Linked DNA regions of Rattus norvegicus. The main gene of each other region encodes a partner of the protein of the gene in region 2 in a complex. Links are inferred from orthologs where the notes say so. Each region holds a gene or a part of one and is shown on either strand. Other genes may lie near its edges. The genes, in order: Tctn1, Cc2d2a and Tmem67.

Region 1 (3,648 bases), on a different chromosome or scaffold from region 2:
AATTTCTATTTGCCTACGGGCCTTGTCTGTCTCCTTTCTATCCAGAGGCAGTTCTTTGTCCCTGCAGGGCATTATCACACCCCTAACCCCCATCCCTTCTTACTTTCTCCTTCCCCCTCATCCTCTATCTCCTGTTTTTGTCTCTTATTCCTTGCCCTCTGTCCCTCTGGGGCAAATACATCTCCTCTGTGCTGAGAACTTGGTCTTGGGGTCCTGTGCTGTCCTGGTCCATTCAGTTTCCACATCACAGGGAAGCAAACAGACGCTTGAAAACTACTCATCAAGGCACGTGAAGAGGAGCGAGCTGGAAACCCACCCAGCTTGGTTGTAGCCTTCTTCCTCCCTCCCCCTCCCTGAAACCTGCCTGCCTGCCTCCCTCCCGCCCTGGTGCCTCCCTAGCCTCCTGTGGCCCACCAGGCAGAGGAAGGCACACTCGAGGGGGGCCAGCAGCCTCTCAGTCTTTACCTTCGTGTTGGAGGAGTGGGTGACAAAGTGCACAGGCACCCAGTCCTGCACATCCTGGGCTCGTGAGTTCCCAAACGCAGCCACGTAGTCAGGGAAGGCCTGGCCTCTCAGCAGATCCTGCATCTTCTGTGCCAGAAGCCCGCATGGGATGGTGCCTGTCAACCTTTGAGAAGGAAAGAGAGGCCAACAGAGGGAGGAGCTGACAACCTCCAAGACATGTCAGCCTCTACACTTCTTCCTCCCTCTCCAAAAATGTGATCCTCCAATTGCTGACATGGCCCTGCCTTTGCACATCCTGGTCATGGAGATAGCCCAAAGCAGCTTCCCAACTTGTCTCCCACTCCCCTGCCCCCTCTGAACATTGTGCCATGGGCAGAAGCCAGGAAACACAGTGGCTTTCTCATGTCTCCTGGCATCCTGTGGCAAAGTGTTCGGTGGAACTCTTAGGAAGAAACACTGATCTGACATCTAGCAGTCAAACTAACAACAGAGTCACTGCAAAGATGTGGGAAGGGTACAGGGGAAGGGAGATGAGAGGAGCAAAGAGAAGGGTTTGTACAGAGTAGGAATTCATCAACAAATACACAGACCCAGAGATCCATAAATGCCATTGCAGATCTCAGAAGGCTCAGGCAGGAGGGCCAGGAGTTCGAGTCTGCCCTGAGCTACACAGGGTTAGGGTCAGCCTCCACTGTGACGCCTGTGCTATCGATGTGGCTAAAGCTGAAGGATGTGTGATCTCTGCCACAGCCACTCACCTGAGCTGACAGCCAGACTGCACATTGTAGCCAAACAGCACAGGAGCCCGCTGCCCGTGGCTGGCCAGGCAGTCCTGCTTGCCTGTGCTACGAAGAATAGTAAGCTGGCCTTGTCTGTTCGTTGTCTGAATAATCCCAGACATTCACAGACTGTTAAGGGACAGTCAACACTTCCAGAGCAGTCAGACTGTCTAGGAAGAAAATGGCTTCACGCATGCTGTGAGACCTGAGTGAGACGCAGGCTCCTCCAGGCCCTGGCCTATTACCAGGAAGGGTAACACGGCAGCAAATCTCTTTCTTGATTGGCTCATCTTCCAAACTAGTTCCAGCCAGCTGCGGTGGCCAGGCCCACAATCAAGCCCCTCAAAAGGCTGAGGGGGGCACATTTGAGGACCACCTGAGCTACAAGTGAGCGTGAGACCAGTCAGGGTGACCGACTTGCTGGAACCTTGTTTCGAAATGAAGTGTAAGGTGAGGGGGCTGAGACAGGAGACTCCTCAAGTCACCGCCACAGCCAGCCTGAGATTGGAAGCGATGCCAAAGAGTGACCTTTGACCTCAGCACTCAGGAGGCAAGGCATCCTCCTGAGTTTGAGGCCACCCTGGCCTACATAGTGAGCTCCAGTACGCAGTGAGAGACTTTCTTAAAAACAACTGAATAAATGAATCAAAGATTAGAAGAACCCTCTGCCTCCAGCTGTCCTTTTAAATGCACTGCCATCTTCCCCAAAGCACCAGACTCCATTTAAACCAGCCGTGCCACATTTCAGTGGAACGCGCTTTCAGTGGAAGCTCTGGCCAATCAGGTACCTCCTTCCCATAGGCCGCCCACAGCGTCTCTGGCAACAAATGGAAGCACGGCCCACCATGCAGACAGGGAAGGTGACCTTCTCCACAGACCCGGAAAAAAAGGATACCCCTTCTGAGGCTGAAAGCCAGCGGCCAGCGGGAGTCCCACTCTGTAACCAGGGTTGCCACTGAGAGGAACAGGCTTGGTGCCATGCTGAAAGACAAGGTGATGACCTGGGCAACATTATTTAGGTAAGAGCGGGGGCAACACAGTGCTTCTCACTGTAACATCTGGAAGAGCAGCTCCCTCTGTTCTGAAGTATAAATAGATCCCAGAGAGTGGGAGGACAGCGCTCTGTGAGCCTGCAAGGCATGGGACAGCACCCGGCTTCCAGGCAAACCCCACACATTACTGCAGCTCAGGCTGGGAGCTGGGTCATGCTTCTCCACTGTCAGTGCTGCCCCCAGAAGCCAGGCTTCCTCTCAGACTCACCTGAATAAAGTGAATCTCAAACTTCTGCTGCAGGAGACTCACGGTGCTGATGAGCGTCCCCAGCACGAGGGAGAGGCCGGCTTCCTGGATCTGGCCGCTGGCTGTGTATAGCAGACTGTACTTTACCTGGGGAAGAATGGGGCTCAGCAGCCATGTTACCAACTCCAACAAAGCAGCCACAGAAAGACCACAGCCCCCAAGTCTGCTGTCCAATCATGTCACTCGTATCCCCTTAGCATCCTAGTGGACAGTCACCTCAGCCTCTCTGTACCCAGGGTTTTGACATTTCAGATCAGCTGACTCAAGCACAATGTGAACAGCCTATTTCTGCAGAAGAAATGAGTCCCATCAAATGGTGGTAGCGATAAATTGTATGTATGGTGCCTGTGACTGAGTGTGAGAGAGTGTGTACCCATGCCTGCACATGCAGAGTGTGAGCGAGTGTGAGAGAGTGTGTACCCATGCCTGCACATGCAGAGGCCAGAGGCCAGAGGCCAGAGAGTGACACTGGGTGTCTTCCTCTGTAACTCTCAGACTTACTGCCTGGAGACACAGTCCTTCATTGAACCACAAGCTCTATTTCAGTGAGGCTGGCTGACTCTTGGGGATCTGCTGTCCCCCAGTGCTGGGGTTATGGTGGTAGCCATGCTTGGCTTTTTACATAGGTGCTAGGGATTTGACCTCAGGTCTGCATCCTTGTGGAACAAACACTCTTACTCCACTGAGCCATCGTCCTAACCACTGACAAGAAAAATGTGATGTATTCCTGCAAGGTATTGGATCATGTAGACAGGTGAAGGCCTGCTCTCTGGCGGGAGAGCAGAGCAGCAGGAGCAGCTGGAGGTCAACCAAGAAGAGAACCAGCACGGTAGCGACCAGCAGTCCAGCAGGGGAAGGTGTGAAGTTCCCCTGCAGCCAGCAGGCTGGAGTCAGGCAGTTGGAGCAAGACTGCAGACACACTGGATGCCTACCTGGAGAACAACGTTGCTGCAGAGTCTGTCTTGCCCAGTGCTGACCAGAGATGGCCGCAGGATACCACGGCCTTCTAACTGGGTCAGTGTGTGATTCAGAGACCGATACATTATAGACTGGATCTTGATGGAGACCTGAGAGGGAAAGTATCTTGGTCATGAGGCTACCAGCC
Region 2 (4,196 bases):
CCGAACAGATGAATAAACACCCCTCAGCTTTAATGAGCCCCTGTCGTCGCATTTGCCATGCTCACTTGTTAATACACTCTGTGACAGTGTCAGAATAGGAGCCCTGGGCGTGTAGAACTGGAGCTTTGCGTTCCCTCCACACATGAGTTCTCCTCACCCACGCATAGCAGGTCTCAGTAGGACGCATGCCAACTTCGACCCAAGCAAACCAAGATTTCCAAAGTTATGTGAGGTCACAGTCTTTAAATCTCAAGCTCAGTCTGCCCTCTGAGCTTCGGGGCCCCAAAGTTCCCCCTGGTCCCACTTTAGTCTTGCTAAAGCACGTTTACCATCACTCTTCTAAACTATCCTTAGTGTGGAAATACTTACAATGGAAAGCCACAAACACTATAGCAGTGTCCTCATTACACAGGCGACACAAGGCCAATAATCTGTTTTACATTGGACAGAAAAACAACACATTTTTAACGGAAAGTACCGACACTGCTATCTGACCACACGGACCTATCTCTAAAGTCAGCTGTCATAGTCACATCCAAGAACCCAGGGATGACCCAGCAGATACAGAGAAGAACTGAGAGAAAAAGGCTGTAGTATATAAAGCACTTAATTGATGCTGCTCCTAAGGATGGTGTATTAATTATCAAAGAAATTATGGCTTTAAAGAGTGAGGCGTTTGAAAAAAAAAAAAACATGGTCCTGGGTTCAAATTCCCATCTTGCCAGCTGTGTGATCTTGAAATAACACAGCCGATTCTGTAAACTCATAATCATACTTCCTACCTCAGGTGACGATGGTTTCTTATGGGCTCTGTACTGAAAATATTGCAATAAAGTGACTGTCACAGACCAGGCTCACTGTACTGGTAGGGTTTATTATTATAGATGTTGCCAGGGTTAGGGTCAGAACCGTTGGCAACTCTAACAAGATAGGCTCGGCCACAGTAGGGCAACAAAAGAGAAAAATAATGGACAAGTCAGAGATAATATGGTGACTTTGGGAAGTGGAACATAGGTGTCCAGTGATGTCAAAGTCTGTCTTCCTGGGTCCTGATGTGAAATTTAGGTCTGAATAAAAGGTACCAGGAGGGATATATAACTAAGCAGTTTTGGTCAAGGTGTGGTCCTTCCATCACTGACACATCATTGTCTCTGTCCCAGTATCTTATGCAAGGTCACTGACAAGCTGTCAGAACTCTTTTTTGGAGAGTAGTCATTCTCCACGTTGGTACTTGGAGCCAATCTTTTCCTTCTCCCAGCACTTGGTACTGAGAAAATACAATTTTTAGAGTTAATTGTCTTAATAGTCTGATAGCAGAAGGAGAGGCACAAATGTTTCTTTGGAGTATCTTTTTTCCAACAAGAACGGTCATAAGAGGTCACAGTTGGGGGGAAGGGATCAAGAGGGGAAACATCGGTTCAGAGAGGAAGAGAATCATAAAAAACACCTTAGGGGGTTGTGCACCCTTACTCTCTTTAGTTTTTATTCCCACCCCTCACAGCCCTAAGCAAGTCTCTTCTCCCCTTCCTCCAGCCATGCCCAGGACAAGGCCTTTCCTTGTCTGTTTAAAGTGTTGCTGGAACCTCCTCCCCTCTACCATACTCACTTTTTCTCTTCAGAGAGGAGGCTTTTCCTTTCCAGTGGGAGGGCCCACTCAAAGCTGGGAACTCTCAGGAGCTGTGATTAATTATGTAACGGCAAGTTATTTTAGCCCCGGCTTCTAGAGTTCAAGGTGAGTGACACAGCTGTGTGTGGTCATTTAATCAGATGGAGGGGACACCTTTCACTTGTTGAGGGCAGGCTCTGCTCAGTGGGATTGCTCAGTTGCTCAGGGGGGCTGTGGCAGGAGTCCTGCTGTGCGTAGAGCTCTTTAGACCTTTTTACAAATCCCTCTTGGTGCTAATCTCATGTGCACTCCTTATCTGTTTATACATCTGCTTCCCCAATGCTTCTCAGCATTGGACCTGGTCTGCATCGTTTTTGTACACTGTAAACCTGAGTTCATTGTCTGCCGTATTATTGATGCTCAATAAAAAACTCTGTAAGTGAACTCTAGGTCAACTATTTATATATATATACACATTTTCCCTCTATCCATATACAGTCCCCCCTCTACATATAACATACTGTCGTTACATTTATTTGTAGAAACGTTTGCAATAGCAGACATGTATTTCTCATTAGACTTTATTAGCTTTTCTTAGCACCCATTTGCAAAAAAGAAAACAATCAGTTCAGCTGATGGCTAGTAGACTTTTCTGGGAGCTTGGTGGCCTGTGGTTCCTAGCTCTTTGTCCAATACCAAGAAAAGTGAAGTTTGCAGCACCAAGCACTCCCTCCAGCCCGCCCTCCTCTTCCTTGGAGCATTTTAAACTGAAGGGCCAAAAAGCAACATGGAGCTAGCGGTTGGCAGCACACTGGCCAGCGAGGTTCTCTGTGAACCAATCGGTTTGCACTTCTGCAAGCCAGAGACCAAACCGCAGCTGAAACCAAAGCTGTCTCTGCAGTGCCCCACCCCCCACTTTGCATTCAGAGAGTAAAACTGCAAGCGAGCTGAGCTGAGAGTCCCTAATGTTAAAGCGTTCGGTCTACTCTCATGGCACAGGGAGGGGCTGCTTTCCAAGCCGGAAGGAAAGGAGGTGAAAGCAGTACACTCTGCAGCCCTGTTTCTTTTAAAAAACCGATTTACCTTAATCCACTCTACAAAACGAAGTTTGCAGATTCCACTCTCTGGGATGGAGGGACGAGATGAGAGACCAGTTGTGTCAAGCTAGAGAATCTTTTAGAAATGAGCGAAGGGGTGGGCTGGGGTAAGGGAGGTTGTTCCCTGAGAAGCTGCAGCCATGTCTCAGGGAAAAAAAAAAACACCAGCTTAGCAACCAGTTCCCAGGGAAGGTCACTAGGCGGCTGCTTTTTTTTCCTTTTAAAGTGACAGTTTACTTTTCAGTCTTGAAATATGAGCTTGCTTGGCAAGCAGAGAAAAATAACGTGCTGAGAAGAGACAAAGGGAAAGCAACTGGGCAGTTGAGCAGAGAGGACTCAGGCTCGGAAGCATAGTACCCTGCCTCGTGTCTCTGGGTTGCACGGCATGTTGGGCAAAGGACAGAAGGTGTTCATGAGTAGTGATTTAGAATCAGGAGGGGCCATGTTATGTGGAAGAGATGTTTAATCATCACCAGCAAAGACTCTGTGGCCGGGCATCAGAGCTCCATGTTTGCTGGCTGTGCACAGAAGCTGGACCGCACAAACCTATGCTCTGTTTATTCTCCAATTCTTTACTACACATGACTCAGCAGGGATACAAACATGATGGCTCAAAAAAGGCAAGAAAATAGGAGAAAAGGCCGAGGAGAGAGAAAAGTAACGAGCAGACCGAGAGCCTCTGCGGACCAAGGACAGCCACAGATCAAGGAACTCCACTGACCATGGCCTCCTAACCTCACGTGCTGTTCCTCAGAAGCCTGCCATTTTGTTTCTTAGATAAGGTCTCTCACTGGAAGCTGGCATTTGGTGATTAGGCTAGGCTGCCTGCCTAGCTCCAGATTCCTGCTTGTCTTAGCCTCCCTGGTGCTGACAGAACAAACATGGACCACCATGCTGAGCTTCAGCCACCTTCAAAACCAGGTCCTCACGATTGCGTGATAAGCCCTTTACCAATGGAACTACCTCCTAGCCTCTATTTTCTGTGTCATAAAGCACTGACATTCATTATATGCATCTCTGAAGCTAGCTAATTCCTAGCTAATGGCTCCTCAGAAATGTGTAAATTCTCTTTGATACATACTAACTGACCCCAAGCTAGCATTTCCAACTACTGCTTTATTACCATGTAATGTCCCCCTGCTCTACGTCACTCTGGAGTCGGGTGGTTAGGGGGCAACTCTATAATCCAGAATATTCTGAAATAATTCAAATTATTTAATTCTAAACCCATCAGCATACTCACTGTCACAGCCTTCCTTACAGGGGAAAAAAATCCCAGTAAAGGGTCTCTTTTGGAGCCTGATGTTTGGGGAATGCTGTTTTCGGAGACTGTTGGCCAATGAGTTTCATTGACAGGCCTGTCTTGGCCTCCCCAGTGCTAGGATTATAGATATCTGTAGACACTTGGCTTTTATGTGGGTGCTGGGGACCTGAACTCCGTATTTGTTCTGGGCAAGCATTTTATTGATTGAGCCATTTCCCCAGCTTAAGAA
Region 3 (3,648 bases), on a different chromosome or scaffold from region 2:
TTAGCTTCTCTTTCATTAGACACTGATAATTAAGATTGAGTATATAAACAAAGGGATTTGTTTAAAACTTTAAAATATATCACCTTAACCATGATAAGCTACAACAGCATTACAGTGACATTTGCAAACACAAGGTCACTGACTGACGAAGAACTCACCTTCACAGACTGGCTATAAGCATTTTTGATGTCAATGTCACTGTAGGCAATGGTGAGTAAGGGAGTGTAGATGTTTCCATTCTTTGTGTTGGGTACAAGGCGTATGCTGTTAAAAGAAAATAAACTCAGACTGCTAAATATATTTAACCCCTTAGGCATATATTTATCATTCTCTTAATTTGGTATAGGCTGTCTTGATATTTTAGTAAGGACTAGGGGAGGCTCAGTATAAACTAAGAGTTAAACCACAGCTCATTCTCATTGGTTAAAAACTTTAACACAAAAGTACACTCCAGGAGACAAGCACTAGGCTCTGATAGATGTGTTATATATATATATATATATATATATATATATATATATATAACCACTGAAGTGCTGTGAGACACACATAGGAACAGCAGAAAGAGCTACACTACATGGCACCTAAACAAAAGCAGATAAAATGTGGCGCTTCAGATAAAGATGAATCTTTACCAAAACACACGACACATTTAGTTTTGTTTCGGGAATAACTTGGCAGCTACGATGCATTAGTAACATATAGTTAGTGAGCCCAAGAAGAAGAGTGCCAGCACGGCCTCACCGAGGCCAAGCCCACCGTGGTTAGGTCTGATTTCATTGGTGTTAGGAATTCTGCAGTGGCTGGTGAGCACGTTAAAGCAGTGCAAATGGGTGTCAGCATGGAGTACGAGGAGGCTCCCACGGTGCCCCACCCATAAGCTTACTATGAGAGCAAACGAACAGCGAGAAACGATGAGTATGAAGTGCTCTGAGAGTAAAACCAGTGCAGTCACAACACATGTTAGGACACGCTAGGGCACATTAGGACACGCTGCAGTGGGCGGTTCAGTCAAGAACCACTATTACATGGAAGAGAGAACACAGGCTGCACGGTGCCACGCTACAAGTGGGGGGTTTTAGAACGAGAGGGATGCTGGCTAATCTGGGTCAATCTAGACTCTAGATTCTAGACAGAGAGCCAGGAAAAGAAGTCAGGTTGGAGAGGCTGAAGACACTATTCCTAAGCTCTTACTAAAGTACCACTGCAGCCACTGATATTACCTTCCTTCCTCTCTCAGCCCTCTGTCTTCCCCAGGTACCGAGAGGTCAAGAACACATGAATTCGCACAAGCTCCTGAGGGCGGCTGGTATCAGTTTCCAGCTTTATCCTTTAACCTTTGCTGGACTCTGCCAATCTACTCATATCTAGGGAGAGCTTAGGTGCTGTTTTGGCTCAGTTCTCCCTATTGTTTCAGTCTGGTGATGACTGGTGTATACCTTCCTCAGTGTATACCTTCACACATCTACATAGTCATCAGGCAGCTTTTACCTCAGTGATATCTGGGTAGCAACTCGAATTACTCTTGGCTGATTTCCTAGGTCATTTTCTCGTCCACTTACTGCATCCACTAAGAAAATGCGCCGAGTCAGAAGCCACTTGCTGGAGCTACTGTCTGTTATTATAAAAAGAGGAAAAGGCAGCATTAGGAAAGCTGTGATCAAACTGCTTCTGTCGGCACTCACGGCACTCACTGAAGAAATCAACATTAAAACCTTGTCTTTTGTGTATGATGGCCACATAATAAGAAACTGTCAGGCGTCTCTGCTCCTTGCCTAGGTCACATTTTATAGCATGGGTAGCAACAAAAGAAATTAGTTTGTCTCAAAATAGGGTCGGAAACAGAGAAGAAAACGTCTCAGTTCACAATTCTATTTGTTATTCTAGGGATATACTCTCAGCAAGGGAATGATATCTTGAAAATCAAATTAATAAATGGCCTAAAGCTGCAGCAGTTTTACTAGTTGATTGTACCTTGGCTCATACTGTATAAAATTGTACACTAAAAGGATCCATAAAAAGGGAGGTGGAGCTGGAGAGATGGCTCAGTGGTTAAGAGCACTGGCTGCTCTTCCAGAGGTCCTGAGTTCAAATCCCAGCAACCACATGGTGGCTCACAACCATCTGTAATGGGATCTGATGCTCTCTTCTGGTGTGTCTGAAGAGAGCTACAGTGTACTTATATATAAATATTTTTAAAAAAGAGGATCCACAATCAGCATCATCATCCCTGGTTCCTGAAATGATCATATTTGGTTTACATCTATTGATCTCAGCTATGAGAGAGCAGGGGAGAATGCTTACCTTGGTTCACAAACAGTTTATTATGTTGAAGATTGAGGTTTAACACTGGGATAGCCCAAAGGTAATGATGTTGCACTTCATCAGTATATTCCAGGTAAATATCATAAAACACAGGACTGGGAAAGTCAGCCAGGAGTTTAGAGAGAGAGATTTCACACTAGGACGTAAAATAAAAATAAACACACCACAACTCAAAATTAGAAAGCATATCAAACTTTCTCTTTTTAACTTTATAAAGTATCTTTATATTATTTGCATGACTTCCAAGAGACTTCCAAATATAAATTTCTAAAAGTACCACTCGAAAAAAGAAAAAAACAAAGAAAACGAAAATGTCAACCAGTGAAGAACTTTTCTATTTTTAATCTATAACATGAAGAGATTGGCTTTTAGTTCCAATACTAAATATATATCAAAGAAGAGGCTTAAAGTGCTGTCCTACGGGATGAATAAAAAGGTTTTTTTGTTTTGTTTTGTTTTTCCTGATGCACAGGACTGGCTCCCTTCAGGAGGGTTAAGCCCATCTCTGACTGTCCCCTACCGGTCTATACTCACCTGCTCTTACCAGTCCAGTCCAGTCCAGTTCCTTTCCACGTATGTACGTGCCAGGCCCTCCTAGCCTCCCAACATCACAAGTGTGGGTTCTGCACAGACTCCTTCCTTGCTATGGTCCATCCAACTTCTGCTCATTGTATACCTTGAGTAGCACTGACTCTGCAGTCCTTCTGTACACCCCGAGAACTGATGTCGTATGCCTGTCTACAGTGTAACACTTGAATAGTTGCTGCCATTCTCTGCCTACATAGTTAGGGTCCTTACTGAGCTGTGAACTACTTCTGTGAGTAACAGTTACACTGCGGTAATCATGGTTTTACATCTATCAGAACATGGACCTGAGGTGACCATTTTATAATCGCCTAACATTACTGTGTCCCACTGAAGCACAGACACCAAGTTCCTCACTCAGTTGTTTTATGAATTGAGTGGGACTTCATTGAGAAAATGCTGGGTACATCACCCTGTAGTTCACACCTGCAAAGCCTCCCTTCCTGTAGTCCACACTGTTATAAAAAGATGTCAAAACACCTTGTAGGCCACTTCTGACCATAAAATTCACGTTCACGGTAGAAAATTAGGAAAATATAAGATATAAAACAAAAATCATCTCTGGCACAACTGTCCAATATTAATCAATAAAAATGTTTATTTTCCTCCAATGACTTTTTCAGGAAGGCACTGTTCACTGGGGTTTTGTTCTGTGTGTGTGCACATACAAGACGTTAAGAAACATTTTTATATGCTACTGAGATCTTTCAAATGTTACCATTTGTACCATACTGCAGT

What was found.
Region 1: Cc2d2a (region 2) and Tctn1 share a complex: the UniProt entries of both Homo sapiens proteins name them as parts of the tectonic-like complex. The link is inferred for Rattus norvegicus from reciprocal best matches to the Homo sapiens genes CC2D2A and TCTN1.
Region 3: Cc2d2a (region 2) and Tmem67 share a complex: the UniProt entries of both Homo sapiens proteins name them as parts of the tectonic-like complex. The link is inferred for Rattus norvegicus from reciprocal best matches to the Homo sapiens genes CC2D2A and TMEM67.

The regions. Positions count from the first base shown.
Region 1 is NC_086030.1:39,994,457-39,998,104, reverse strand, and holds part of Tctn1 (tectonic-1 precursor), read right to left. Parts: intron 3,611-3,648; coding exon 3,476-3,610; intron 2,631-3,475; coding exon 2,505-2,630; intron 2,226-2,504; coding exon 2,140-2,225; intron 1,365-2,139; coding exon 1,224-1,364; intron 629-1,223; coding exon 466-628; intron 1-465. UniProt on the Homo sapiens protein: Component of the tectonic-like complex, a complex localized at the transition zone of primary cilia and acting as a barrier that prevents diffusion of transmembrane proteins between the cilia and plasma membranes.
Region 2 is NC_086032.1:71,645,479-71,649,674, forward strand, and holds the start of Cc2d2a (coiled-coil and C2 domain containing 2A), read right to left. Parts: upstream 2,854-4,196; 5' UTR 2,690-2,853; intron 1,626-2,689; exon of another isoform or gene 1,607-1,625; intron 1-1,606. UniProt on the Homo sapiens protein: Component of the tectonic-like complex, a complex localized at the transition zone of primary cilia and acting as a barrier that prevents diffusion of transmembrane proteins between the cilia and plasma membranes.
Region 3 is NC_086023.1:30,362,596-30,366,243, forward strand, and holds part of Tmem67 (meckelin precursor), read right to left. Parts: intron 2,462-3,648; coding exon 2,305-2,461; intron 1,616-2,304; coding exon 1,492-1,615; intron 265-1,491; coding exon 159-264; intron 1-158. UniProt on the Homo sapiens protein: Required for ciliary structure and function. Part of the tectonic-like complex which is required for tissue-specific ciliogenesis and may regulate ciliary membrane composition.